2 linked regions of the Alligator mississippiensis genome follow. The protein of the gene in region 2 purifies or fractionates together with the protein of the main gene of each other region. This does not show direct contact. Links are inferred from orthologs where the notes say so. Each region holds a gene or a part of one and is shown on either strand. Other genes may lie near its edges.

Region 1 (14,950 bases), on a different chromosome or scaffold from region 2:
GACAAATTGAGTGGGAGGATTCTGAAGCAATGGCCTCCCCAAATCCTGCAGGAGCTTAGCCCTTTCTTGCTCATTTCTAACTCAAACAGCAGCTATGCTGAAGACACCCATGGACTTGCAGCCTGTGCTAGAGACTGTCTATGGGACTGGGGCTCTGCTGGGACACAAGGAAGCTATCTGGGCTTCATTTTTGCAACCATGTGTGGGAACTAACACTGTGGCAAGGCAGTCTAAGCCTGGCATACCAAGGGGTTTGCCTGATTGGAAGGAGCCTTTTCACAGGCTAACAGGTAACCAGCTGCACCGTTCACACCTTATGTCCACTCCTAGCCACTGCTCACTAGCCAGTGAGGGCATTTTCACTGCCGAGAAGGGCTCTGAACAAGCACTGACTCACTGCTTGGAAAACACCAAGTGATGTTCCATTGCACTCCTATGTTCACTGGCTGAGGGAGATGACCTGCCAGGCCCATCACCAGGGAGCTGGGAGGAGAAGGACACTTATAGGGGAGGTGAAACAGGATTGCTCTGGAAGTGGCAATAACTGGGTGGAGGCTGTTGGAGTGGGCAGGGTAGCATGATGTCGCCACAATACAACTAATAATTCCAATTAAGGCCTCCCTACTACACCAGACCAAATCCTTGCCACACTAACAACTGTTACAAAAGCCAATTCTCTTCCTCTGGTGTCCAGGACAACAGCAGGAACAAAATTCACACTCTTGCGGGAGACTCTCCATTAAGCACGAGCAATACAATTAGCTCTGTGCCAACCACACACAACATGCACCTCCTTCCCCTGTCAGACTAGAAGCAGCAGCAGAGTCGACAGGAGGCGAAAACAAGAGATGGAAAGGCACAGGCAACTCCTTTAACAGCCGTCTCTTCTTGCACCTCACCTACATTACCCATGTCCTCCTCCTCTAGGACTTGGTATTGGTGCCCCACAATGGGTGAGAAGGGATATATGGTGGGACCTGAAGGAAAGACGGTCATGGGACAGGAGAAAGTGTAGAAGGGACAGAAGAAAGACTGAAAGTGTTGCCATGGCTTCTGGATCAGACAGGATTGCTAAGACCTGCCGGGGGGGTTGTCATTCAGCTTCTAGCTATCAAGAGTCCTACTGCCCCCATCTTCCTTGCACCTTTAACATCCTTCCATTTAAACAACACCTGGAAATCAAATGCAAGACTTCTGTTAAATACAGAACAAGTGTTGCAGCCATATGCCAACGCCACATGCTTTAGACACCCTTTGAGAGCTGGCACGTGTCATTCTTGATCGCTCCCAACCAATGTAGAAGAAAGCCTCTCGTTGCTCCTTAAAATAGCATTATCTTCACTGCAAAACACATGCATCTAAGCATGTGTGTGCGCCACATCAGAAGCACCATCCTCTTTCTGCACTTCCTGCCATTCTAAAGTTAGCTCTGTGCATCGAGTTGTCAGGGTGATGCTCCATTAAGTGAATGGCAGAGAGGAAGTTAACTCCATGTTTCCTGCAATCAGAGGGCTGAAGCTTAGAGAAGGATGCTCTGCCTTGCTGGAGAGGTGGAAGCAGCCTGGGTTTCTGCCATATAGCAACCTCAGCTCCATGTGAACAGTTTTTTGAGGGTTTGCATAACCACTGAACATATCGAAAGCAGCACAGAAAGAGCACTTCAAGGAAAAAGCCAGCCGCCAACCAGACCACATCAACAGCGTTGTGTGTGCCAGCAGCCGAAGAAGCAAGGAAATCAGAACTTTGGAGAGATCTTATCTGGGGAGGCTGCAGAACCCTTTGGGAGGGAGAGGAAGGGTGGCCGACATGAACGTGTACAATGCTCCAGACTGTTTAAGGACATCTCAGCTGCTGGCTGCCACTTCTATGTCCATGAGCCGGCCCTGCCACCGCCCCCATCCTCCAGTGCATGGTGCTGTCTCTGACTAACCCTCTGGAGCTCTGAGCAGAGGCGAAAGCCACACCTTGGCAATATCAGGCCTCCTATCCCATGCTCTAAGGCCATTCACAGTGAGTAACTACATTAACATCCAAGGGCCAACATCATCCAGTAGACAGCAACTCCAAGCAGCCTGCCTACACATGCTAGGTCCCGTGGGAAGTGTATAGTCTGCCTACAACTGACAGCTTCTTGGACTCTCCTTTTTTTAATGTTCTTTCCACTGCTGTTGGGTAACGAGCAATTAAGGCTCATGTAAACTAAACTGTGTTCTGAAGCGTGCTATGTGGTTACTTATAAATTAGACTTGCGTAGGGAAAACACATGAGAACATGTACCATTAAAGTGGTGGTTATGCTAAGCTGAATGGGATCCTCATAGTTACTTGGCATTCAGAACAGGCGCTAAGATCTAGGCTTGCATGAAACAGCTGCTGTTGTTTTGCAAAGCCCTTTGATACCTCAATGGTAATGCATAGAGTTTTACTAATAGGTTGGACATTGGATTGGTATGGCATGGATTGGATAGAGGTGATCTTAGCTTCTGGCGGGGGGCTGGACTAGATGGGCTCTGGAAGTCCCTTCCAGCCCTACTTCTCCATGATCCTATTTGACTTGCAAAAGTTATAATAAGGGAGAAAATCTCACTGAAGCTGTACAGAAATGGATAGTTTCCAAAATAAGGAACTGTCAAGCTGCTTCTGGATGCTGTTTAATCAGTAAACGTGGTCAGAAAATAACTGGATATAACATAAAGGGTCCTGATTGGAACAAAAGGGAAACATATGTAAAATACTATGTGCTGATGCATGAAAGAGAGGGGGATACTTGAGCAATGCAGGGCCCACTAAGGAGCAACCCCCATGAGAAGACTGAAAGCCACTGGCTTGAAAAAACCTACCTATACCTCAGCACTGGGTAACAGGGCAGAGCCTAGTTATGATCCATCTGCCAACTCCTGGCTCTTTGAACTAAAAGCTGCTCATATATTGTCCTCGAGTTCAGTAACAGAAAGCTGCTTCCATTATGTAAGATAGTGAATTGTGTCTGGACTTTATCAACTGCCTACCAGTGCAAATCATGCTGGAAGCACTCAGCCATGGATAATCAAGGCAGAAAGACTTCTCCATAACAGGACAGTGGCTGAAGAACCCACTGAAATAGGAGTTAGACTTGAATTGTAGGCTCCTTGGGGCAGGGGCTACACTTACTCTGCAGCTGCATGGAGCTTAGGACAATGGGGAGCTGGTCCATGAGAATGCTTGCTACATGTTGCTGCAGTACAATGAATAATTCCAATTAACGCCTCCCTGCTATACTAAACCAAATCCCTGCCACCCTAACAACTGTTGCAAAAGCCAATTCTCTTCCTCTGGTGTCCAGGACAAAATTCACACTCTTGCAGGAGACTCTCCATTAAGCATTAGCAATAAAAGATCTTTGCTAGACACTTTTGATTCTAGCCAACAGAGGGCACCTGCCCGCCCACCGGTTCAATTCTGCCCTTCTCCAACATCAGACAGGGCAGCATGTAGAGACTAACTTGGTCACAAGCTAACTACCTCTCTCTGACATCAGGGACTCTCCTCACCGCTGCCAAGAAGCCAGACTGAGACTGAGAGCTCAGGCCCAGCTTGAGTGAAAATTTGGAAGATGACTCAGCCGCATCTGGGAATGGGAGTGACGGAAAAAGCCCCGGCTGACAGAACACAAAAGCGTAACAGAGCAAGGAACGGAATCCAGTAGCAGAGCCAAAGGAAATAAAGGACCTGAGAAAGAGCCGTGCAGGGACAAAATTCCTCCCAGCCAAGGCACGGGAGTGATGCCAGGGATGGATCTGGCTTGGGATCTCCAGAAGAAACAGGGATCTCCCCAGTTTGCCTCCTCCCCAAGCCCCTGCTCCACATCTCTTGCACATGTAAGTGTCTGGCAGCTCCTGAGGAATCGAGGGCAGTAGCCCGGTGAAATGGTTGTTATTCTTAATTTAAAACTTCTCTGCCCCTGAATTTTGGAACGCGGCCTTTTCCCCTCACTGGGTGTGGAGCCAAAAGACTGTGCAGGACAGAGCCCTGTTTTCAAGTTAACAAGCGCAGCCTGTTCTGGGATTTAGACACACTTTTTTCCCCTGAAGGCAAAGTCCTCCCTTGGCTGTTGAAAGAGTCTCACCTACATGCTGAACTGCCTACAGTGTAACACTGCGGGTTACCAGGGCTGGGTACTTTAATTCCATGAAGCACAAGGGGCCAGACTTTGATCCTAAACTGAAGGAATCAACCAGCCCACCCAGTCTTTTTTTAAACTCAGTGGATATTCCAGCCCTTCGGCTTCCTGCAGACTGTTCTTCAAGGCTGCTCCAGCAGCGTCACTGATATTCTGATTATGCCACCTCCCAGCTCCTCTGCCGTCTCCTTCCTGACCCGCTGTCTGATCCCAGATGCTGTTTCAGTGCTGGAATCACCTAAAGGCTGTTCTATGAATATCCCTCCATCCCCACCCACAGCATCCTTTCCCCTCAAATCCAGAACTGAGCTCCAGTGCTGGGATGTCAGGACACACTGCTTTGCAAATGCATTTCAGCCTCTCCCCACAGCTGCAGCTCACCTACACACGACCTTGCCCATGCTCCTCAGTGCCAACACACAGCCCCTCTGCCCTTCCACCCTGGGGTTATTCCCCGCCTACATCTCTGAGACGCCACTCAGCCCTGGCCCCCCACACAACAAGGTTGTTCTGAACACGCGGCTCTGCCACTGCCCCGCAATCCTCCGGCAGCCCCTCTGCCATTCCAGCTTGGGACTGTTCTCCACCCGCAGCTCAACCCAGTCCTCTGATCTCAGCTTGCAAGTCCTGCCCTGCCCTGGGCTCCCCAAGCCAGCTCTGCTGATCCCCAGGCTCCCAGCTCCCCTCAGCCCAGGGCTCCCCATGCCAACTCTACAGACACCCGAGATCTTGGCTCTCAGCACCCTGCTTCCCCCAGCCCAGAGCTTCCCACATCAGCTCTGCAGATTCCCTGGCTCCCAGCCCCTGCTCCCCACGCCGGCTCTGCCCATACCCCTAGATCCTGGATCTCCACAAGCAGCTTGACCTGTCCTTCTGGATCCCAGCTCCCTACCTCCCCTACTCAGGAGGGCTCCCCCTCCAGATCCCCTCAATCCCAGCTCCCAGCCCCTCCATCCCAGGCCAGCTCTGCTGATATCCCCAGATCCCAGCTCTCCAGGTGCAGCTCAACCTGTCCCTCCAGATCCCTGGATCCCAGTTCCCAGTCCCCTGGCTCCCCACAGCTCTGGTGATCCCCCAAGCCCAGGGATCCCCACCCTAGCTCTGCCAACGACCCTGGATCTCCATGCTCAGCCTGACCTGTCCCTCTGAATCCAGGCTCCCAGCCCCTGCTTCCCCACACCAGCTCTGCAAAACCCCCAGATCCCGGCTCTCCAGGAATAGCTCAAACTGTCCCTCCAAATCCCTGGTTCCCAGCCCCAATCCTCCATCCCAGGGCTCCCTGTGCCAGCTCTGCCAGGATCCCCAAACCCTGGCTCTCCAGGTGCAGCTCAACCCGTCCCTCCAGACCCCTGGCTCCCAGCTCCTGCGTCCCAGGGCTCGCCGGACCCCAGCTCGTCCACCCGGGCCCCCCGCTACCTCCTGGAGGTCGCGCTCCTGCTCGAGGGGCACGACGTCGTGGGCGCGGTGGTCCTGGGCGCGGCAGAGCGGGCAGACGCAGGCGGGGCAGGCGCGGCAGTAGGCGTCGAGGGGCCGCAGGTGGCGGCGGCAGAGCCGCTCCTCGAGGCGGCGCAGCGGCGGCGCGAGGCGGTGCGCGCGGAAGGCGGCGCTGGCGCGGTGCGGCTGCAGGTGCTCGGCGCAGAAGGAGGCCAGGCACACCAGGCACGACCGCGCCGCCGCCGCCGCCTGCCCCGCCGGGCACACGTCGCACAGCACCGGGCCCTCGGCGTCCGCCTGCGCCCCGGCCCCGGCCCCGGGCTCGGGCTCGGGCTCCGCCTCGGGCTCGGGCCCCGGCGCCATGGGGCGGCGCAGCTGCAGCAGCTCGCTCAGCGCGTGGTTCTTGCGGAGCCGCAGCCCGGCCGGGAAGGGCTCCTGGCAGAGCGGGCAGCGCGGGGCGCCCGGCGCCGGCCCGTCGCGGTGCGCGCCCAGGCAGCGCAGGCAGAAGTTGTGTCCGCACGGCAGCGTCACCGGGTCCCGCAGCGCCTCCAGGCAGATGGGGCAGGCGAACGGGCCGTCGGCCGGGCTAGGGGGGCCGCCGCCCTCCATGCCGCCTCCTGCCGCCCGCCCGCCCGCCCGCGCCGGGATCGGGGGCCGGGCTGAGCAAGGGCGGCGCCTCCCCTCCCCTCCCCTCCCCTCCCTTCTGGAAAGAGCAGGCACCTCCGCGCGGGACTCACCTCCTCCCGGCCGGGGCGGGGTGTCCACACAGCCCTCTAGCCGGGGCAGGGTGTCCGCACACATCCCTCTAGCCTGGGGGGTGGGGTGTGTCCAGTCCACACACATCCTTGCACCCTGGTGGGAGGTGGGAATGTGTCCGCACACATCCCTCTAGCCTGGGGAGGAGGGTGTAGACATGGCTGAGCTAAGCAGCCTCTTGGGGAGTTATATCAGGAGAGATTCCTGCTCCCCCCGACAAGCAGGCTGAAGGCAGGGTCGATCTGCACATTATAAAAACAACCAGATGCTCTGTTGGCAGGCTGAAGGCAGGGCTGCTTCCCGGGGGAGGCAGGAGACCCTCCTGATTGCGAGAGCGCGCTCCAAGAGTTTGCTGAGCCCAGCCACGCTCAGCCGGGTGCCAGAAGATGCTTTTAAGGGTGTCGCACAATATTAGCGCTGTTTCTGCAGTGCCATTCACAAGGTAAACCCTGACGGGGCTCCAGAGCATCTAGAAATGTTGGGCGCTGGCAGGGGCTTCCTGAGGACTTTGTAACAGAAACATTGCTCCAGTGTGGCTCCCTAGTCCTGAAAGCAAGTGGGAGCTCAGAGCGGGTATGACCCAAAGGGAGCCCTGAGTCTAAAGAGGTTGAAGGCCACCGATTGAAAACAAATGCCCCTGATTCTCTACCACCAATAGTTGCAAGGGTGAAACAAGATGAAGAATTTGAAAATCAACCAATGCAACCAGTCCCCTTCAAGTTTCATTATCCCAAAGATCTGGGACTAGCAGCCACCACCTTCAGTGAATGTGGCTGTTCTTACTTTCAGCAGACAGGAAAACATGGATGACATCTCTTAGATCAATACTGTCCACAGTCAGGACTTCAACTCCCATATACAGATGTCACTTGCTTTATGATGTAGATGTGTTCATGGAAAACGGCGCATAACTCAAATTCGCATAAAGGGACCCCACTGTACAATGTGACAAATAGGGATACGTCCCAAGACCTCGAACATACTGACCCCCAGACCCATTTCTACCACTTTTACAAGACAGTTTTGGTACTCACCAACAGCAGACTGCACGTAAGCACAGGATGGCTGGGGTGAAGGGGACTCAGCCCCTCCAAACACGGGGCTGCAGGCTCCAGGTGGCTGCAGAAGGGGTGGGGAAGGGCGTGCATGCAGCTGGGATTGCAGCCTGGCAGAGGCGGTTGCTGCTGTGTACTGTGCTTTGTGCCCAGCTGCCCCAGGAACAGCACCACTGGGCTGCGCCCCCCTGCCTGCCTGGTGGTAGGACACACATGGCATCACGCCACTCCCAAGGCAGCTGCAGCTCCAGAAGCACAGGCACCAGCTGCCCTGAGTGGTGGCCAGGGGCGCTGCTGTTGGGCAGCTTCGTGGCTCTCAGCTGACTGCGGACTTCCACTACACCAACCACATAAGAATGAATTTGCCTTGCATATAATGAATTTTTGGTATGAAAAGGGTCATTGCATAACAGTGAATTCGCACATACAGAACCTGCATAAAGCGAGGGAAACCTGTAAAAGCAAAACCTGCCAGCTGTTTGAGAATGAGCCACTACACAACACAAATATGTCTTCACATGCTTGAAAAACTTTGTTCTTCCCTGGAATCGGATACGGGCAATGCTAACATACTCCTGAATGTAAAGAAAGCAAAAAAGAAAGGACAAAAGCTTACTTTTTTCCCAGAAACTCAGATGGGTTTTGAGCAAGTTCAACATTTTAGCTGCCAAGAACATTTATGGTGGCATTAGGGTGATGGTATAGCTGTGAGGGTCCAAGAACTCTGGAAGAGGCAAGGATTTCTTAGGGTGATGGCTTTTATTAGACCAGGTGGGCTGGAATTAGACAAGCTTTTGAATGCAAAACATGCTTCATCTTATGGCAGAGGATGGCATTTCTAATGCTTTGCATCTTTGATACTAATATAGCACACCCAAAATGTACAAAGTCATTTTGTGTTGTAAAGCATTTCATGTCACTGTGTCTCTTGTTCAGCTGTAAAGCATGATCATGTTTTCTGTGTGATTGTTGTATATTGTGTCTCCTCTAGGACTGGAGAGGACCACCTCCCAACCCCACCCCACCACCCCAGAGCATTGCTTTAATATTTCTCAACCGAACCTATAAAACCAGTTTAGTGACTGGCCAAATCCTGGAGTGGTGACCCCCCTTGAATTGATTGGTCTTCATTAGCAGTGTGCGAAAGAGGCTGCTTCTTGATTGGGGCCCTGTGATGAGGTCAGAAAAACGATTTAAGGTTCAGGCCACCTCGGCTGGAGGGCTCTCTCTCTTTTAGCTCAGTGGAGCTATATCAGTTCACTACCCTGACCAAAGTCATGCAATTAAAATGGCATTGAGTAGTGGAGGGTTGCAGCCTTGTCTGCTTGCGGACAGGGCTCCCTACGAGAGCCTCAGAGTTAGCTTCCCACTGGCCAGCTTCTAGTGGGAGGATCTCAGCTACACGCTGACTTTATGGAAATGGGAGACTCCTTAGCTTGCTTCTGCGGGAATACGGCCAAGGGCAAGCCAAACTCGGGAGCATCCGAACCCCAAACTTCTGGGCTTGGTCCTGCAAATAGGATGCCTGCCAAAGGATTTAGAAGCATCTGAAGCCCCAGATGGGGGTGGAGGATGTTTGCTGATAGTAGGGCCACATTCGGTTCTTGAATGACTCATGGATTTGGAATTGATTTGGCTGATTTGACTTGGAACACGAAAAATTTTCCTTTAAAAAAAAAAAAATCTCACCGAAGAGCCCTTCCCATCACAGAGGGAACTAGTGACCCCAGCGGACAGTGACGGCGAGGGAGATGATGCACCCAAATTCCCAGGGACTAACCTCTTTTGCGTTGAGACTCCCCTACTCTCGGACTGCTGAGCCTGGGGTCGAAGGCTCCCCAATAGGGGTAGGGGTGATACAGGGTCTAGTTTGAACCAGGACAGTGTTTTTGTTTTACTTGACTGCATGTTGTGTTCTGGTGTTTGTAATAAATCATGGGGTTTGTGTTCATACTGCTTGTGAGAGAAAGGCTGTTGGTTTTATTGGACACCCTAGTGATTCATTTAGTGTTTCCCAGGTACATTGAGCAGGGGCTCGAGCCAAAGTAAAATATGTTCAGTACCCCCAAAACTGAACCTGGTCCTTGTTGCTGCTGACAGGTGCTTAGCAGAAGGGTTATGCTTCATATGAAAACTTGGACAAATTACGAGGTTCCTCATTTTTTCCCCCAAAAGACTGCATAGCGGCATCCGAAATGTAGTGGAAAACGCTGACTTGGTTCTTTCCTGGAGTAGTTAAGGGCTGCATCGGCTCTTAAGCAAACCTCTTCTTGCTTTGTGGTTAAGTTGTTTTTCTCGTGGGAAATTGACTCCCATGTTCAGGTCATTGGTCACTTCCCTCTGACCAGCCCAGGACACTTGTAAATCCATTATCAGAATGCTTGTTTACATGAAAATCCCTTCAAAGCTTTTAGAGGCCTAGTTTATTCAATACACACTTTACTTGAGATGTTGACTTCATAAAGTAACTCATGCACAACCACAGTATGCAAGAATCAACAGCTGCAGATTTTGAGAATTGAGGCATTTAGCATCGACCCCTTTGGATTTTGGTTCCTGTAGGTTCCCTTAGGGTTGACTTGAGACTGAAACAAAAATGTCACCGACTGTCAAAGCTTTGTGCTGTAATACACAGGTTGCATCAAGTTGGCTTTTCCATTTTGTTTCACTGAAGGGCTTTGCCCATAGATTAGTCACAGCTTGGCACATCACATCCCGTCTCTTTGAAACAGCTGCAAAGAAGTATCAGTGCTTTGCAACATGTTGAAAAACATCACAGCACCAATGCAAGAATTCGAGGTATCACTGAACACAGGATTTGAACGACATGTGTTGCATGGGACACAAAACACTCTCTTGTTAAGGTCCCCAAATCTCTTCTGAACTCCCCCATGTTTGCCTTTCATATGCAACCCGTTGTATAGTCTGGACCAGTAAAATCACTGAGATTTTAATTTCTTTTAACTATTTGAGGAGATACATGCCAGCACATACATCCTTGAAACATGGAAGATGCAAAATTTTAGCCGATTTTGGATTATAAACTTCATTGCTGAACAACAAGAACGATTTCTACACCTCCCTGCCTGCCATTTGACACCACCAGGGAAGAAATCCTGCTTGATCTAAATAACAAAGAGCAAGCTCACAAAGAGACTCTCGTGGACCCAGAGGGACAGTTGTCCAACTTCTGCTTCCTCTGCGCAGAAATGAAGTTTATTTCCTACATGTGCGGACTTTTGACTATCTTGAGCTTTCCCTGAGCCTGATGAAGGATGCATGAGCCTGAAAGCTTGCAGAAAAAGATATATTTTTTGCAATTTCTCAGTTGGTCTAAGACAAGGTATCATTTTGGAACCAAGAGTTCTAGATTTTTACATTTCTTTTTGTCTCACACCAACACGGGTACCACATACATCCCTGAAGCACTAGGAGAACCATTCATGTAAAAAAATCAGTGAAATATTCCTTGATAAAACACTGCCTTCTTTTGCCTCAGTCCTGTCACCTGCAGAAACAATAGTTGTCATCTGCTCTTGTTTATTGCTGCCTGGGGCAAAGTCAAGTATAACAGAATAGCACTTGGCAGCGTCTGAGGCAGAAATAATTCCCTTCTTGGTCACATGCCCAAGAATTAAAAAAAAAATAATGTTTTGGATATTTTGCTCAGGTACCGCTCATGATTTCCCTTTGAGGTACTTCACTGGAGGGGTTCCTGTAACACAAGGTCACCTTTTCCAAGGAACTCCATGTATTTAAAACGCTTCCCATTGTGGGATGAATAGGGCACAGGAAAATTATTTCTGTTCCCTGCAGCCTGATCAAATTAAAAAGCCTTTCCAAACCAGCTTGCCTGTGCTCTGTCAGATAACTAATTTAGTGCTGACTGTCTTTATTCATTGCCTGATCTTGGCTTAGTCTAATTCCTAAGTCTTTCCTCACAGGGCAGCTGCTATTCTGATCTGCTAGGACACTCAGATCACCATTCTCGGCTCATGCAAACTCTCCAGCGAGAAACAAGTTGCAGCAGAAGCAACAAGCAGAATCAGCTGATGTGGAATAGGGAAGCTAATCTGGTTTTACACGTTCCCCATTTGAAAGTGGGCATGAACAAACAGAAAGCTGAACATTTCTCCCAACACTTCTTCCCTCACTGTCCAAAGGAACAGCATTGCAGTTTGTGGGCGCTGGCTTAGCCCTCAAACAGAAGGCAGGGTAGATTTGCTCCTTAGGGCCCTGCCGCATGTTCAAATTAAAGCTGGCTAGAAACCAGCTCTAGAGCTGTTACACAGCACTCCATCCTGAGGGGGCGGAGGGGGCAATCTGCTGCCCCGACCCCTTGGCCTGGGAAGTCTGCTGCTTCCTGGGAGCCCATATCCGAGACATTGCGGAGAAGATCCCCAAAACTCCTCCAGCTCACTGACCACTAGCCTATGCTCCTCATCCATGTGGGCACCAATGACACAGTTAGGAGTGCTCCCAGCCGGGTCATGAGGTGCTACAGGGATTTGGGAGCAGGGCTTAAGGGGTTGGGGGCGTAGGTGGTGTTTTCTTCGATCCTCCTGTCTCGGGCTACGCCAGTTGTGGTCAGACCCCGAGGGTGGTGGTTGACAGAAGTCAATCATCATGTTGCCTGTGACCAGTGGGGTCCCTCAAGGCTCTGTCCTTGGACCTATTTTGTTCAACCTCTTTATTAATGATGTGGACATTGGAGTCAGAAGCGGACTGGCCAAGTTCGCTGATGATACCAAACTCTGGGGTAAAGCATCCACACCTGAGGACAGAAGGGTGATCCAGGCTGACCTTGACAGGCTCATGAAATGGGCGGATGAGAACCTGATGGTGTTCAACACTGAAAAATGCAAGTCCACCTTGGGAGGAAAACCTGCAGCATGTCTACAGGCTCAGCAGTGCTACGTTGACTAGCACTAGGGACTTGGGGGTCAGGATTGACCACAAGATGAACATGAGCCTTCAATGTGATGCTGCAGCTAGTAAAACGAGCAAAATGCTGGCTTGCATCCATAGATGCTTCTCAAGCAAATCCCAGGACGTCATTTGCCCATTGTACTCAGCCTTGGTGAGGCCACATCTGGAGTACTGCGTCCAGTTTTGGGCTCCACAATTCAAAAAGGAAGTAGAGAAGCTTGAGAGAGTGCAAAGGAGAGCCACGCACATGATCAGAGGTCAGGAAAACAGACCTTATGATGAGAGGCTGAGAGCCCTGGGACTCTTCAGCCTGGAAGACCGCAACCTCAGGGGTGATCTGGTGGCCACCTATAAGTTTATCAGGGGTGCTCACCAGGATCTGGGGGAATGTTTGTTCACCAGAGTGCCCCAAGGAATGACAAGGTTGAATGGTTATAAACTCCTGCAAGACTGTTTCAGGCTGGACATAAGGAAGAACTTCTTTACTATCTGAGACCCCAAGGTCTGGAATGGCCTGCTGCCAGAGGTGGTTCAAGCACCTACATTGAACGCCTTCAAGAGAAATTTGGGTGTTTTTCTTGCTGGGATCCTATGACCCCAGCTGGCTTCCCGCCCCTGGGCCAGTGGCCTGGACACGATGATCTTCCAAGGTCCTTTCCAGCCCGAATGTCTATGAATTTATGAAATCTATGAAATTTTCAAGCACTAACTTCATAGCTGGTTGGCTCTTGTTATGGATGTGATTAGTTGGCACATGTGGCTGGTCTAAATGTATTAATTAATTAATCAGTTAATTGTGTGATAATTACTTTGCACTTGTGGCCTAAGTTTATTGCATGATTAACTAGCTAATTGCATAACGTATGTGACATGTAGCAGGGGCCTTACAGATTAACTAAAGTGCATGTGTGTCTGTAACCAAGACGAACTCATTGATTGCTCTTGTGTGTGTGTTTGTGTATAACAAAAGGTGAACTAATTGATTACCAGCAATTTGGAAGGATCTGTCAGAGCACCAATGTTCAGTTTCCTCCTTTGTAGATTCAGGTGGCTAGAATTCAAAGCCATGGCTACAGCTACAGACACAAGTGGCACAACTTCACTGGTGACAACATTTTTTACCGTTCTCTTCCTTTGGTCTCATCAGAACACCTAGAAGGAAGGTTACTTATCAGGAGAGAGGTTGTGAAAGTTAGGTGCAGAAGCAGGAACAATGACATGTTGGTTGGAAGAACGTGCATGACTGGAAGGGTCCAAGACATCCAGTTGGAAGCAAACTGCTGATTTCTGAAACCTTAACTTTCTTTCACATCAGTGGCTTGGCTGATATTGAGCTCCAGAAAGCCATTTCCGTGCTTCTAAAAGATTGTCGCTATCACTTCCAATTTGAGCCATGACCACAGCCAGTCCGGAAGACCAAGGGGCCACGGCGCGTGTACACGAATACAAGTTAATCTAAGACCTTCTAATCAATCCTGTACACACTGACTCACCCACACAGAAAGCGCTGCCTCTTGTTTGCTGCCATCTGGCTGTTGCCAATTTGCCCATTTTAACTGAAACCAAGTAAGGCCTGTGAATAATAAATGCTTCATGCTGCCAGTTTTGCTTTTTAACCACCCCCAGCCGCCTGCTGCATCTTCCCTTAACGCCAGCCAGGATCTTTCTGTCCTGCCAAAGAGGCAACCAGAGCAAGAACAGTAAAATGATCCCAGGCTGTCCCCCAAGGAGCCGGGCCCAGCTCCCCCCATTAGCGTGTTCTAGCTTGGGTGATGGTGGAAAGCAAACTCCCACCCAGCTAATGAAATGCTCCCTGGCTCGTGGAGTTTTGCAGCTGGTGGTTTTATGAGTTATTACGAGATTCCAACCCGCCCCCCCTTTTACCAGATATCTCAGTCTCTTTAACTCGTACGTTCCCAACCCAGCCACAAAGCAAACTCATCTCCCTCCGGAGTTCTTCCTCTCAAAAATTTGGGACACGATTGTGTCAGGGAGGGGTGGGACCGGACTGTGAGGAGGCAGCTGGTCAGGGCAGGGTCTGAGAAGCTCGGGTGAGCTGGTCCATGTTTTGTGGATACAATGATCTCTTCCCCCACTCCCACCCAAAGCTGCCAACCCAGCCCCTTCTGTTGATCCTAAACCAAAAGGCAAACTGTCAGGAGATAAAAAAACAGAAGTTTAATGCAGAAGGGGGCTGCTGATAAACAGGTAGAGTTTACATCCCATAGATGCCCTCTACTGTGCTCTGGATGCTCGGAGTCCTTGGACGAGAGGAAAACACACTAGGTTAGAAAGAGGCCAGGCTGGAATTCCTCCTCTGAGCCGTTCCTGAGTGTCAGCAAGCTGGACAACGTGGAATCCACCTTGATTTAGTGTTCGGGTCTGTAACGCAGCCTCCTCATCCCAACTTGGCACCACAGCCGTGAAAAGCTTATCCCAAGGGCATCTCTTCTATGCACGGCATCTCCTTACAGCCACAGATCCCGAGATCTAAGCCAGGTGGTGGCTGTCCGGGGCTCTGGGAGGCAGAGGAAATGGGCACCAAGCTCTGCCTTTTCCCTTCCTCTCCCCATTCCAGTAGAGCCTCTCAAGTAACTGCCCTTTTATTTGTGTTGATT
Region 2 (15,026 bases):
ATTCTGATCCTTCTCCTGTCTGATCGTCTGCTTTGCTTTCACCTTCCATCCCTGTGCTCCCTGCTCAATTTGCTACTTTGCTTTCAACTTCCTACCCTATCTGCTGCTGTGCTGCCTGTCCCCTCCCTAATCTATTGCACTACACACAAAGGCTGCCCATTCTGCTTGCGGCACCTGTGCCACAGATTGACTACCCTGGTTTAGGAAGACTGTTGAAGGGACTGAGATGATTTGGAGGATCAGGGAGAAAAACATGGCCTTTCCAGAAAGGAACAATTAGGAGAGAAAGTCTGTTTGAAGGAATGACAACTGAACCTATTACTGAAGGTGCGTTAGGGATCTCAGTGAATGAACTTTCAGGAAGACATATCATAGATTCATAGATGTTAGGGTCGGAAGGGACTTCAATAGATCATCGAGTCCGACCCCCTGCATAAGCAGGAAAGAGTGCTGGGTCTAGATGACCCCAGCTAGATACTCATCTAACCTCCTCTTGAAGACCCCCAGGGTAGGGGAGAGCACTACCTCCCTTGGGAGCCTGTTCCAGACCTTGGCCACTCGAACTGTGAAGAAGTTCTTCCTAATGTCCAGTCTAAATCTGCTCTCTGCTAGCTTGTGGCCATTGTTTCTTGTAACCCCCGGGGGCGCCTTGGTGAATAAAACCTCACCAATTCCCTTCTGTGCCCCCGTGATGAACTTAAAGGCAGCCACAAGGTCGCCTCTCAACCTTCTCTTGCGGAGGCTGAAAAGGTCCAGTTTCTCTAGTCTCTCCTCGTAGGGCTTGGTCTGCAGGCCCTTGACCATACGAGTTGCCCTTCTCTGGACCCTCTCCAGGTTATCCGCATCCTTCTTGAAGTGTGGCGCCCAGAATTGCACGCAGTACTCCAACTGCAGTCTGACCAGCACCCTATACAGGGGAAGTATTACCTCCCTGGACCTATTCGTCATGCAATGACTGAGACTAACCTCCACCATCTTACTTCTAAAGATGGCATTAGATCTAGAACAATCAGCACAGAATGATGTAGGGTAGTCGAAGGACCACAGTGAGAGCAGTAATCTCCTTCAAAAGGAGTCATTTAAAATTTCCTTCTACAGATGTACTAGTGTAAAGAAAGAATCTGGAGGCTCAAACATTGAGTAGATAAGGATAAAACTGTCAAATAAACTTAAACTAAAATAGATAACCATTTTATGTGAAACCATACTTATGAAGCAGTGTGTGTGTGTGTGTGTGTGTGTGTGTGTGTGTTCAATCCTGATGGCAACTGGAAGGTTACAGTCTTCTCATGTCATGAAGCTACTAACACAGCTATGAGCAAGTCTTGGTACTGAACAGTATTTTGACTGCTTTAGCAGCGTTACAATGTGAATTGATTATAAAGGCTGTGAATTGATTATAAAGTTGCTTTTGGGTGTAAAGGGAAAAGGCCTGACATATGATGTTATTTTTGGTTTCTGGCTTGCTAAGTTTAGATCAACCGTAGTGAAAGCAACAAATCATAAAAACGATTAATTATTGTGAAATACATCTCATTGCTGTTGCTTTAGTCATATGCTCAGAGCCAGGAAAGAGCAAGATTCATACTAGGAACAAATTGCTTGGGAACAATTTAAGTAATTCAACATATTAACTTTATTAAGAGGTTTTGTCATTTAGAGAGACTTGTTTTGCGCTACTGTCGGGCAGAACATGAATCCAAGTTACACTTACAGATATTTAATCTAAGTCTAGGCAAAAATGTGGCCTTCTGTATCATCCAGAGTTCAGTATTATACCAACTTCACATACCTACTGAAGTACTGTGTTATCTTGTGAACAACTGCCCCTAAATAAGACATGCACCTTATTTTTAGAAGGCAGAATGCAGAAATTTTTTTTTTTTTTTCCAGGATCATGGCCAACTGTATGCCATAGATAGAGCAAGTCCTCCAGGGAAGAGTGTGTCCAGGAAGAGTAGCACCAGGAACTTTCTGGTGTAGCAGCTTGTCTCCTGCCATGCCACGCTTCCTAGACACTGTGGCTGCTTCCAGACATTAAAAAAAACAAAATAAAACAGCGCTTTATTTTAAAACTTGGCACTTTCCAGCTCATGCCCAGAAGAGACTGTACGTCCAACATCTGTATAGATTGGGTGCTTCAGCGGGGCCAAAAAGCCCTGCTGAAGCACCCAATCTACACAGACGTTGTGGAGCCAGGTTGTAGTAACACACTGCTTCCAGTAACATGTTTTTTTTCTGCTTTGGGATTTTTTTTTTTTTTAAACATCTGCCAGCAGCATACATTTCCAGAAGGACTTACTTTAGGTCACACAAAGTTAGGTCCCAGGCCCTTGCAAAAGGCAGTAGCAAGGCTATTACTTCTTTATGGTAAGTAGTTTGTTGGGTTTTTTAATAAGTTCCTATAAATAAAGTGTTCTTTCCACATCACGAGCCTCATTAAAATACTACCAGCAGCTCATTTGCTGCTTCAGGCACTAGCTACAGCTGTGAGAGGGTTAACACAAGACTCCACCCGTTCAGTTTGCCAAACACACAAACTGCAGCCATCTTGGCAGCTGCATGGCATGCAGTGTCTCTCCACGCAGGCTCCTTTTCCAGCAAAGGAAACAGCTCAGCTGCTTAAAACATGAGCCCCAATTTTAAGGGGCTGAGTTTGGGAGGAGGTGCATGTTGTATGTGAGAAAATATGGTACCTCTTCTGGCTCATTTGACTGTCTCATTTCACACCTCAGAGGCTGGGGAAGAAGTGGAGGTGCAGGGAGAGGACTGCATGAATGCGCATGCCCAGATTCGACTCTCATTTTCTCACCGGCTTTATTTATACGTGCATCTAAATACCTGACAGCAGCCTGTACACACTTAACTGAGGATCTACTGGTTTATCACATCTAAAATGGCATGCCTATATCTGTATGTCCTCAGATTTGTCATAAGAGAGTACTAAGACGGGGTACAGATTGACCTAAAGTACTTTGGCAAACGCATGCTATTATGAATTACCCCTTCTGAAAAATAGAATTAAAGAAAAATATTTTACGTTAAGTTCCTTCTGACTTCAATAATTTCTACTTAGTCTCCGTCAGATAGGTGATCAATAGGAAACTTTTTGAATACACATATTTATACACATCTTTCATGAAAAAAAATCCCATAACACTCAGGGGTATTGTGGACTTCTGACAGTCCCCAGAGAACTCTGAATCCATAAACTAATGAATGGATTACTATGATTCATAAGCCATTTTCATCTGTGACAGATAATCTTGCTCCAATACCATTAGTATTATTTAAACCAGAACTGCACCCCCTTTCCCTCAAATCAGCAGTTTCAAATTTCAAAAGATAAAATGTGGCTGTCAACATGAATAAACTGATAAATATATATGAACATCTGATTTGTGCTGTCTTGAAATTCCAGACTTCAGGGATGAGCAAGACAAGTAGAATATTCTGGTAGTTTTTGCAGGACACTTGGCAGGAGAACATTGGAAAATGGACACTAAAATTTCCTTTTGCAGCATGTATAAAAGCAACATGTCAGTGAAATGAAAGTTATATCGTACACCTGCTTTTTAGGCATGCCATCTGTGCTCTGTCATATCATAATATAGCAGTGTAATGGCACAGCCTCGATGACATGCCACAGATAAAGAGAATGCAACGTACCTCTTGCTCCATTGATGTGAATGACAAGACTCTGTAAAGGTTGCTGCCTAATATTGCAAAGAATAATATTCAAATATATTATATAGTGTTAGTCTTCTGTTTTTCATTATTTACCATATTATAAATATCATAATATCTTCAGCATCAGATGATTAGGTTGCTTCTGAAGGATCTCTAACCTGCTATACAGGTCAAATTAGTACATACCTCTTACAGACCACAGGATGATTTTGCAAACCTATTTGTACTAAAGTTATACTCAAGCTGACAATCTAACCATTACATTTTATTGGTCCATATGTCTGTCATGATAATAGAAATTGTTTAGGATAATTCAAGGGTTCACATAACCTGTTCTGCTGATCCAAAGAGTTTCAAATGTTAAAAATTTCAACATTTCTTGCAAACCAACAGGCATCCTTTTCAACCTTTTAATTAAAGCTGAACAGCAGTTCAATCCTTGTACCAGTTACTTATCTTGGCCTACAAACCACCAGTCATCTGCAGACCACATTTTGGGAACCACTGCAATAATTAACAAAAAGTTCAGTTTGAAATGATGATATGAAAGATAATCTTTCAGAACAAATCCTAGTAAGCATCAGATACTGCTTTTCCCACCTCATTTTTTTTTTGTCAAGCAAGAGAATCACCATCTCAGTGGTTCTCAAGCTTTTTAGACTCAAAGTACCCCTCAGAAAAATGTCAGCTCTTAGTTTTCGCTCCGTTTTGTGACTAGAAAAATAATACAGCAATTCTTCTGCTACAAAGAACTTGGAGCAGAACAGCTCCCATTGGATTCCTATTTGCAATCCTGAGGTTTATCTTGTGAATTATGTTTGCGCCTAACAAAGCTAAAGCTGCAGGGTTCCCCACAGCACCCTTGAAAGGATTTCACAGCACGCCTGTGGAAAATCATTGCATTAATCCTTTCTGTATGTTGAAGACACCTAGAATGAAAAGTACTTAAAATCTTACACAAAAAGTAAGGTAACAATGATCTTCTGACATGTTCATCTGCAAGTGCTTTCACAGCTATATGTAGCCAAGATATACTTGGACATACCTGCTCATGAAAGTGAAAACATCTTGGAGCAAGTCTTTACCATTACAGCAGAGATGTAAATGTTGGTAAGTGATTTCTTGTTTCAAAAGCAAACTGTCTGACTGCAGAGTTGGGGGTCTGTTGCAAAAGCCACCCAGTTTAACTTTACATAGTTATCAATATCGTGTACAAGGACACAAGCTCTAAAGATCCTCGTTTTCACACACACACACACACACACACACCTCTGTTACTAAAATAACAAGAAAATGTGTATATCACAACTCTCTCTTAAGATAATGCTCAGGAGGAAATCAAATCTAAACTGGGAATCAGTCAACTCCTCAATTCTAATCTCTGCATCTGACTCAATCTATGGCCGCAGACAAATAGTTTACGCTTTCTGTTCCACTTTTTCACGTGCATTTGGTGGATAGGTCAACGGGAAGTTACATGGATTCATTATTTGATTACCAGTATTCTGAAGACATGAAACGCTATCATCATTTGGATCCTCTGACAGTGGTTAACATAAGTGAAGGAGATGTTTAATAAAGAGAAAATGTGCCACACATGGAGCGCTTATCGGACAATCATCTCCAAGAAGCATCTGAATGAGTCTGTAGAAGTGCAAAAATGCTCTCTGCTTTGGCTCTCTTTATATTATCCTGTAATGTAACAAAAGATTTCAAAAGCCAAATTTCCAAGGTAAAAAACAGGGGGGGGGAACAGATCTTGCATTTAAGGTGAAGATAAGGGGATAACTTCAGCCCTTGTTTATGTCCTATATGAATGGGAATCTCCAATAGTCACTACGAGATGCTGGCAAGGTCAATTTTATTAATTATTACTACTATTGTGTAATCTTTGGGCTCCGTGTTCTCTCCCGATTAATGATTATTTACTAATGGTGTTACAAGCTTACAGCTTCTCCTAGCAATAAGCAAGACGGGTAACAGGTCAGTGTAGTAGGGACTTGTTAAGGAAAGATACCTCTGTGTAAACACGATGGTCTCTGTCATTTTGGAGACTTTCCCTATGCCCGAAGAAGGGCGTTTGTGCCCAAAAGCATGCCAAGAGCAATTTCTCTTTAGTTGGTCTAATAAAAGATTGCGCATCTACCCAAAGACCCTTGTCTGCCTATTTCAGAGATGGCATAGTTCTGTTCGTTTCTGAGCTGAAAGATCAAATTGTTAACCAAGTAAAAATAAAGGAAGCGAGTAGATTTGAGGGTCAGAGTCCCCCAGCATGCTCTTTTCACAAGCTTCTAGAGTAAAAGAGACATGTTTCAGCTTTCAGGAAAGCCAGTATTCACTGCCAGCTTCACTTTCCGGGAACTTGACTTACAAACGGTGCATCAGCTAAGAAAGGAAGGAAGGTGGTGGGGGAAGAAAAGTCTCTCTCCAGGCAGCAGTTGCATGGATGAGAGCATTCAGGCACCAAAAGTTATTTCAGGGCACTCTGTGCAAGCTCAAACACCACTTAAGAGATGGGGAGAATGAAAAGTGGCTTCTAAAAAATACTGAAAAATTGCTTCAGCGGGCTTAGAGTTGCAGGGGTACAGCTCGTGGCAAGAGCCTAACAAGTGAAATCTTTGCAAGGAGAGGAAAAAAACCAAACAAACCCCCAAAACAACAAAACCCACGAGCAAGCAAACAGAAACACAATCCGAGACCCATGCCCCCGCCCCCAAAGGAAGCAGGGGGCTACCAGCTGTCGGGTTCATCCACGCGGGTCTGCGAGCCTTCCCCGGGCGGCTGCTTCCCGCACAAGTTTCCCGGCCCCGGCCCGGATCCTCCCAGTATCGATAACCTTTGTCATGGCCCTTTCGGAGCCTGTTCCGCTCGCTCCTCCCGCCCGGGGTTGGGAGGGGGGAAGCAGCTGACAGCCGAGCATGTGGTGGATAAATATTGAAAGAAAGTGCGCCGGAGGGAGGGAGAAAGTGCCGCGGAAGGGGGGGAGCAGAGAGAAGCGGCGGGGCTGGGGCGCTGCTGGGAGCGAGCAGGGCGGGAAGGGAAGGGAAGGGAAGGGAAGGGGGAATAATAGCATGAAACCCCACCGCCACCAGCCCAACAACAACAGTGATTAGCTCCTACCCACCTCGCCGGGGCTGGGAGGGGATTGTGTGTGTCTCTCACCTGACTTCCTACTTCACGGGGAGGGAGGGGGGGAGAGGCAGAGCCGCGCACACCCGCCGCTCTCCCCAAGTCAGCCCCCAAAACACGCCGGGCAGGAAGCCGGCGGGAGGGGACAGACAGACAGACAGACAGACGGGCGGGCGGGAGGGCACCAACCGTCCTGCTGCTGCTGCTCCGGCCGAGCCCGGCTCTGGCTGCGGCCGCGCGCCGAGGGAGGAGAGCGGCGGCGGCGGCGGCGGCGGCTCCGGCTCCGGCTCCAGCGCAGGCAACCTCCGCCAGGGGGAGAGGCGAGGCGAGGCGAGGCGCTGAGCCCCCCGCGCCCGGGGCTCCCGGCCCCCCGCCCCGGGGCCGCATCCAGCCGGGCCGCCGCCGGCTCCTCCTGCGCGGCGGGCGGTGTAGCAGCGGGGGCGGGCGGGCGCGTGCGGCTCCCCCCCTTCCTCCTCCTCCCTCCCCCACACCCCCCCCGCTCGCCTTCCTTTAAACGCCCACTGCGGATGGGTGCGAAGCCAACTTGAACTTCAGTGCAATTAAGTTCGCCGGCGCCCGGGAAGCCGACGGTGTCGCCCAGCCTGGCCCGCGCTGCGCTGCGCTCCCATGAGTGAGTGGCCCTTGCCGGGGCCGGGGCCGGGGGTATCCCGCACCTGCCGGGCCGGAGGCGCCGGGCCGGGGGGAAGCGCGACTTGCCTCCAAAGTTTGGCAAAGTTGTCGGGGAGGGCTCGGGCCGGGCAGCGGGGTGGTCCCGGGGCAGCCGTCAATTTGCCGCCGGCGGCCCCGTGGCAAAGCCTCCTTCTAGCATCCCTCGTCCTCCGGCTGCCCTGCGCCGCGGGGGATTTTTTTTGTGTTTTTTCTTTGCCCCTCCTAAAATATATATTACAAAAGGAGCTGGCGATGCTTTGTTCCCACCGGCCGCTTTGGGAGCGAAGCCTTTGCTCAGTGGCCGGGGGGGAGGTCCTGCCCGGTGCCTCCCAAGTTGTCCCAGCTTGGCCCCTGCGAGTGCTGGGGGAGAGCCTTGGACCGCCGCAAACTTGGCTTGACGCGTTGGCCCCCAGCTCGTCAGTGGCAAGGAGTGACGAGGGGGTGGGGGCAAGAATGAGCAGTCAGCTGCATTCAGTCCATCTGCTGGGAAAGGGATCCACCACAGTTTGAGATCCCAGGACTCTCAAGGTGCAGGTAGGTGGGAGAGGAGCAGCCCTGCTTTAGGCTGCTCCATATGACAAGGGGGGGTGACTTTTTTTTTAGCAGCGGTTCTTTCCACTTTCTGTTCTTTGGGTCTAGGCAGGTTCATCGACTTGTCTGCTCCAGGCTGCTGGCAAACATTCGCGTGCAAGCTTACATTTAAAAAAAATTTTTTTTGACAAATGTGCAGACAGGACTAGCAGGAATAGGCATCTGAAATATTAAACAACCTAAGCATCTGTTGTGAAACAAATTTAATGTATTTACTCTGTTTTCTTTCTCGCGTTGTAGGGAAAGGTTACAAGAAGCGTAAAAATTGAAACCAGAGTTGAAGGGAATGGGTTGCATGTTTCAGGATCTCCTTAAGGGTTTCACACAGTCACCAGAGATAAAGGTGTTAACTCAGACGCCTTATTTCAAAACACAACTTGAAACAGGCTGCGTTCAGTGCGAAGGCAGGAATATAGTATAGCGCCTATCATTTGTATCATACTGTTACTATTACTCCACTGTGTTCGTGTGGATGAGGTTATTTGTATGACAGTCCTAAATTGCTATACACAGTTGTATTTTTTTAATGTTAACATATCTCTGTAGTTCTTATTCTTATTAGTTTGCTTACCAAGTGGAGGCAACGTCTCATTATCTATTGGCTATGACTATATAAGTAAAAAGCAAGCAACAAGATAACGCCTGCATGCAGGTTTATAACATATAACAAACAGCATGCATATGGATATAAAATAAGGTGATGTAACAAAAATAAAATCATTGTCTACGCTTGTACCCACTCCTGAATACATTAGCTAATGAAAGAGAAATCACTGACTCCAAGGAATTCCTCTTTGCCCTGTAATAAGAGTAGTCTAAGTTAAAGAAGAACACAGAAGCATAAAGTCTCCAGAAAGCCTGTATAGTTATTTTGGGAATCAATGCATTCCTTCTCTTTTTCCCACAAGTTCAAATATGTAATAAATAATAGTTCTTTGTATGCAAAATGAGTTTACTGAGGCAAAAATATTTAAATGGAATGCATGTTGTCCATACACTTTTAAGAAGTAACAGTTCCTTTCTATATTCTTTGTTATTGATTTTTAAATAGCAAAGTAACTATCTAAAAGAGTTTCCCCAGCTCTTCTCTTGTCATTTTAGCTTCTAAAACAAGTCCTTAAATACTGCTTTTTTCTGAGACAGACGTATGAAACAGGTGAAGTAAGCCTGTGATTCCATGACAGCACATAGTGCTTTGCAAGAATAGGGAAAACGGAGAATCTGCCAAATCAGCCAAAGCATGTATTTGAATGTGATGTAGAAATCATTTTGGTCTGACAGATCATGGTTTGCAGTGTAGGCCCTGGAGGTCAGCTGACAAACACCTGTCCTTATTATTATAGAGATCTTTTGGTTACAGATAGTATTAAACTAAAGACAGTGTGCTCTCTTCAAAGCACCATAGTGATTCTCTAATGTAAACTCCCAAGTGGGATGTAGGCAGGTGCACCTCTTCAAACCAGAGAAGTGTCCGTCTTCTGTGCAGTTAAACCTTGAATAACCACTAACTTCTGTTACGTTACTGTTTCAGTTGGAAAAGGGTTTGAAATCATATGACTTCGGTTCATTCCATCTTGAATTAATATCCAGTATTCTTCAAAAAAAAAAAAAAAATTTAACTATATGAACTAGTTGTTTCTTAAAAATATCCTGTTGACCCAGTTTCTTAACTGAAAACAATAAGATTTAACTCACAGTCCTCCTTAGGCACTTTAGTTATATTTGGAGAATTAGTCAAAGAGGTTACTGTGTTTTAATAAAACTAATATAAAAATATAAAGATCATCTTCTGAATCTGCACTAAAGAAAAAACTATAATTGAAGGTATACTTTTGAATAAAAAATCACAAAAAAGTGATTTTCCCCTCCCCCCCAAATTTTTTTTTCATCCTGTTTCTAGGGACGATGCTAGATACTGCTAGCACAGATACTACTGCAGCATTTTATCACCCTCTTGTGCATACCTGGCATTGCTCTCTCTATATTTAATAAATATCCACTGGAACCACAACTTTCCATCTAGAACAGTTTTAAACATAACTAGAGCATTTTACTTCCTTATAATTTACGTTAATAGATGACGAGTGTATGTACAATCTCCTTAGAAATCATTTTTTTTCCAAAGGGGATATTTTATTTTCAGTTGGGAACTAGATTATAAGAACAAAATAACTCAAAGCATAGGCAATTCTATATATCATTTTATTTTTTATTATATTATGACGATTGTATGATGCCTTCATTAAGAGCAATGGGATGAAGAAATTACAGACAAGCGGGTGTGTTTTACTTGAAACATTTAAAGTTTAGGGATGCTAAAATGAATGTTTTTGGTAAGGTGGTTTGATTATCTAGTATTTTTCATAGAATTTTGGCAAACTAATTTTAATAGAAAAGTGCAAATCATTTAGTATGGGAGGACATATTTTTCAGGTAGAATGGAAGTTCTGTTTTTGCCATTATGGGCATCAGGCATCAGTAATCTGCTTCTCTTGTGGAATGAACACTTCCTACTTAAAGCTATCATGCACCTACTGTTTATTTACGCTGCATTAAACTGACAGCACGGCAATCACAGGAAAAATATTACTTACTTTCCTGAAGTAAATACCAGTTTATAGGTTAGTACATGTATTTATATTCCTGTCGCCACTAAATAATGGCTCTGTCTCCATTTTAATATCTACCTGTGGTGTTATCCAGGGCAGCTGACTCCCGTGTTTGGGGAAGGGGGGGGAAAAAGTTTTATTATCATGCCACACAAAGAGTAACTTTAAAGAAAGATGATTCCATATTCATTTTTGTGGCAGGCAGAAGCCAGCATTAAAGAAACGGCATTTAGTTTTACTGGGCATATTTAAGTTTAAATAGTGAAAATATATTTCCTTAAGAGGATATGCCTCCCCAAGCCACTTAAATTGTATATTCAGACAACAGCAGATAAGGGCAGAAGAATTTTATTAATAACTGAAAGCACATATGTGTGTGTGATGAAAAATGTGTTGAAAATCTGTCACTATATAGTCTAGTATATTTTTTTTTAAACTTTGCCATGAAGTTGCTATAGTTTATCAAAAAAACCCCAACCTGACACAAATGTATCTGTTTGACTGTTGAACAACTATAGTGCTTATTGCCTTGTTATACTTAAACGTTGTAAGTTTTACAAAGCTACTTGCCACTTACGTTATTTTTTAATCTTTGCTTCATTGCCTGTCTGATGATAGTTTTAGTGAAAATGGCTCATTGTTTGAAAAGAGCATAATGGCATTCTCTATCAGACCATTTTGATTATGTTCTTTGATAATGAGGCCAACTTTTTTTTTCATTTACCAAAATGGTTAGATCATATGTCCATTTCCATAAGAATGGTACTAGCAAGATTAATTCCCACCAACATGACCACAGTCTGTAATTGTCATAACAAAGAGGGCAGTGGTCGCTTCTGAAAAAAAAAATGTAGGGGGTTTCCAACATTTACCATCCTGTGGTATGCAAGATTACCACAGTTATCACTATTACTTCGGTCCTTGATCAGTATCGGTTTGCTGTTTGGCAGGTGTTGACTTTCTAATGGCTTCTACAACATACTGCCTTCTGTGTGTGCAGATCTCAACATCCATAGCTGAAGCTATCCACAAAGGTTAAGTGTCCATGTAGAATATCTGAATTTAGATCAATTATAGAAGTAATTCACTTCAGAATTCATATAGTATTATAACATGTCACTTGTTATTGAGTGTTTTGAATGATACATATTTCTCTTTAAACTTGGTGGGCCTGACTCTTCCCTCTAGCATACTGATGAAATAAGGAGTAATTGTATTAAAGTCAATGAAGCCACATTTATGTAGAGCAGGTAAGAGATCAACATTGGGTCTTCATAAGGGGTGAATGAGATACAAACACACATTACTTAGTGCTTTTGAACTTCTGCCAATTATACCTTTTTTGCTTATTTGAGATCTCTTTTTCCATTCCTGAGTAAATAGCATAACATTTTTTTAGTATGCAGGCCTATTTATTTTCCTTCTGTTGTTCTATAATACCTTACCTTTGATAACACAGTTTTATATAACTGTAGGTTCATAAAATAACCCATCTTCACCTGTGTCAATGATTTTCTTTCATGAACTGCAGTTCATTTAGACAGTGTGATCTGATTGTTTGCAAAAGTGGACCTGGAGGCACCAGAAATATTCTGTCGGAAAGATGGTAGTATGTGCTTCATGCACCAGCTGAGTTGGACCGTTACAGCTCCCAGCTGCTGCCTGCTCCACCTCTTTCCCTTAGCTTATTATAAAATGACCTGAGGAATAGAAGATGCTTTAAATCCAGAATGCATCTCATCCTCTCAGCATCAGGATGTTGCTCTGGCAGCAAGAACTTGGCCAGCAGCGTTTGTGTGTAATTCCTCTTGTTATTCACTGTAGCAGTAGTGACACATCTAACCACAGGGACTGTCTTAAGGATAACTCCTTAATCCTCTCCTAGTACTTAAGAGTACCAGAATGAGGGCCAGACCTTATTCCACCAATTAGACATCTAAGAAGCACTTACACGTTTTAGGCAATCCTGTGCCATCCTGCCAAAGTCCCTGAAAAGATACTTTTGTAAGGTGTAGCCTGAAGACTAAGTCGCAAAAAGCAATGAGGACCCATCCACCCCTTATGTTAACAATTTTTCAGGGACTAGAGCAGGGTGGAATAGAATTGTGCTTAGAACCTGCATGGATAGAATAGTCTGGCCCTGAATTCTGTTCCCAACTCTGGCACTGACCAAAAGCATTACCTTGGGCAAGTCACTATAGCAACATATTCAACATGCCTTTACACAATGCGCACAGAATACGATTTTCGTAAGTGCTGAGTCTTCACAAATCCAGTTGAAATCATGGAAGACAAAGCTGCTTAACATCTCAAGTCAGATGTATACTGAAGTCCTGTTCTTCCTATCTGCAAAACAGATATAATAGTACCTACTCATCTCTTAGGGATGTCGTGAGGTTTAATTCATTTCTTTATTTTTGCAAAGGACTCTGAAATCCTTGAATGAAAATGCTATACTGTAAAAATGCAAATTAGTAGCGGTAGTCTGGAAATAAAGGCAAATGAAATTTCAACCCAAGTATACAATTATAATCAAAATTTAAATAAGATTTTTTTTATAGTGAACAGCCAAAAGTTTGTCTTTCTTTCTGTTTTTGACTGTGAAATTTTTTATTTATTTATTTATCGTAGTTGAGTCTCCTTGTTGAGTGTAAAAGGTCCTAGGGACAATTAAAAGCATCTTAAAAGTTGAAAAATGATAGTTTTAGCTTTTAAGGATTCATTGTATCACAATAATACTGCATGCTTATTAGTGTTACTTGTACGCTAGACATTTAATTACAGTCTTTGTGAGACATGTTATCTGTGTATTAACCATCACATAAAAAGAATGATATATTCTCTTACATACAAGCTCTTGCTTGCCAGTCCTCTTTTTTAAGATTATAGATTCAGGTCTGTAATCCAGAGTTTTCACATCTTTAGTTAGATCAGCTCAATTTCCTACATTTTTTTTCTGTAGGAACAAGGCATTTGCTGTAAAGATTTTTCTATTTCAAGTTGATTGCTTTTTTACAGTAGTACTTAAATTGTCATCTGTCACATGGAAACACATCCAATATGTCTCTGTCAATTCAAATTAAATGACCTTTAAGGACAAGTTTAGAAGTTTTTTTTTTTAAACATTTTTTCTGTTGCATGTATAGTAAGTGTCAGAAAGTAATCTATTTGTATAGTGTAGTGGGGCTTTTTTCTGCATACATAACTTGACATTAGGGGGACATTTGGAACCTTCCTTTCCATAAATAATATTAGTGTCTAAAATATATTCTGTATCATAAATACAAATGTGATTAGTGATTTGGACTACAAACTACTATACGAAGGTGACCATGTTTGTAAGCAAGATAACATACGGACTTACAGCCAGATTTTCCCTCAACTGTGTGGGCAAGTACCACTTACGATGATCCTGAAATGTTAAATGTTCCATAAACGTAACTCTTATTACTGTCAGTGTTTTGCACTGAGGTCACTTACAGGATCAGGTACAATGAAAACTGTACATGATTATCTGAGGCAACAGTTGAGAATATTGATATGATCTTAGCCTCTACTCTTTACCAAAAAAAAAAAAACAACCGAACTTTACAGGATTAGACTCAGTTCCTGCAGCATTGCTGTTGGGCCCATATCAATAATCTGTGCAAGTCTTCCATTAAGTAAGTCTGTCCTATTGCCCTTTTTATTTTATTTTATTTTATTTTTTTTTTTTTTTGCTTGGCTCACCGAATGCTGGAATCTCTTTGGCTAGTCCTGTAGAATACTGTTATACTAGAAAGGCAAAGGATGTGGCCCTTTATAACAATATCATCTATTGAATTTGAATCCCATTACCTGCTGAACTTGAGTTATTTATCTTGTGAGAAAACAGCTTCTATATTACATGTTCCAATGACAGCTAAATTAATAGGATAGTCATAAGAATGCTTATTAATTTGTGGCTATTCTGAAAAATGCTTTCTAGATAAAGTTATACCAGCAGAATTGATATTTTTTTTATGCATTTGTTCTATAGTTAAATAGAGTTATTTGTGTGGCACAAGGAAAGATATTCCTCAGAAGCATTATGCTGTTTGACATACTGTATTTTCAAGCAGTATTTCATGTAAGTTCTGTCTCTTTAAAAATGCAGTCTCCTCTATTTGCCCTATTAATTGTTGATATGTTGCCATCCACGAGACAAAAATTAGAGCTGTAATTAAATAATCATGTGATGCTCCTTAGTGCCAGTGAGAGCAAACTCATTTTTCCAGGCCCTGATGGTCACTGATTATTGTATTACTACTGGCTTGCTTTATTTTTTTAATGGTTCTATATCACTAGGTTACTTAACCA

The links.
Region 1: the proteins of SATB1 (region 2) and TRIM47 purify together in Homo sapiens (affinity purification with mass spectrometry; 4 studies listed by BioGRID and IntAct, with this or other methods). This does not show direct contact. The link is inferred for Alligator mississippiensis from reciprocal best matches to the Homo sapiens genes SATB1 and TRIM47.

What each region holds. Positions count from the first base shown.
Region 1 is NC_081831.1:13,218,330-13,233,279, forward strand, and holds the start of TRIM47 (E3 ubiquitin-protein ligase TRIM47), read right to left. Parts: upstream 6,239-14,950; 5' UTR 6,202-6,238; coding exon 5,575-6,201; intron 1-5,574. UniProt on the Homo sapiens protein: E3 ubiquitin-protein ligase that mediates the ubiquitination and proteasomal degradation of CYLD.
Region 2 is NC_081828.1:151,599,029-151,614,054, forward strand, and holds the start of SATB1 (DNA-binding protein SATB1), read left to right. Parts: upstream 1-7,020; 5' UTR 7,021-7,446; coding exon of another isoform or gene 7,447-7,450; intron 7,451-7,664; exon of another isoform or gene 7,665-8,022; intron 8,023-15,026. UniProt on the Homo sapiens protein: Crucial silencing factor contributing to the initiation of X inactivation mediated by Xist RNA that occurs during embryogenesis and in lymphoma.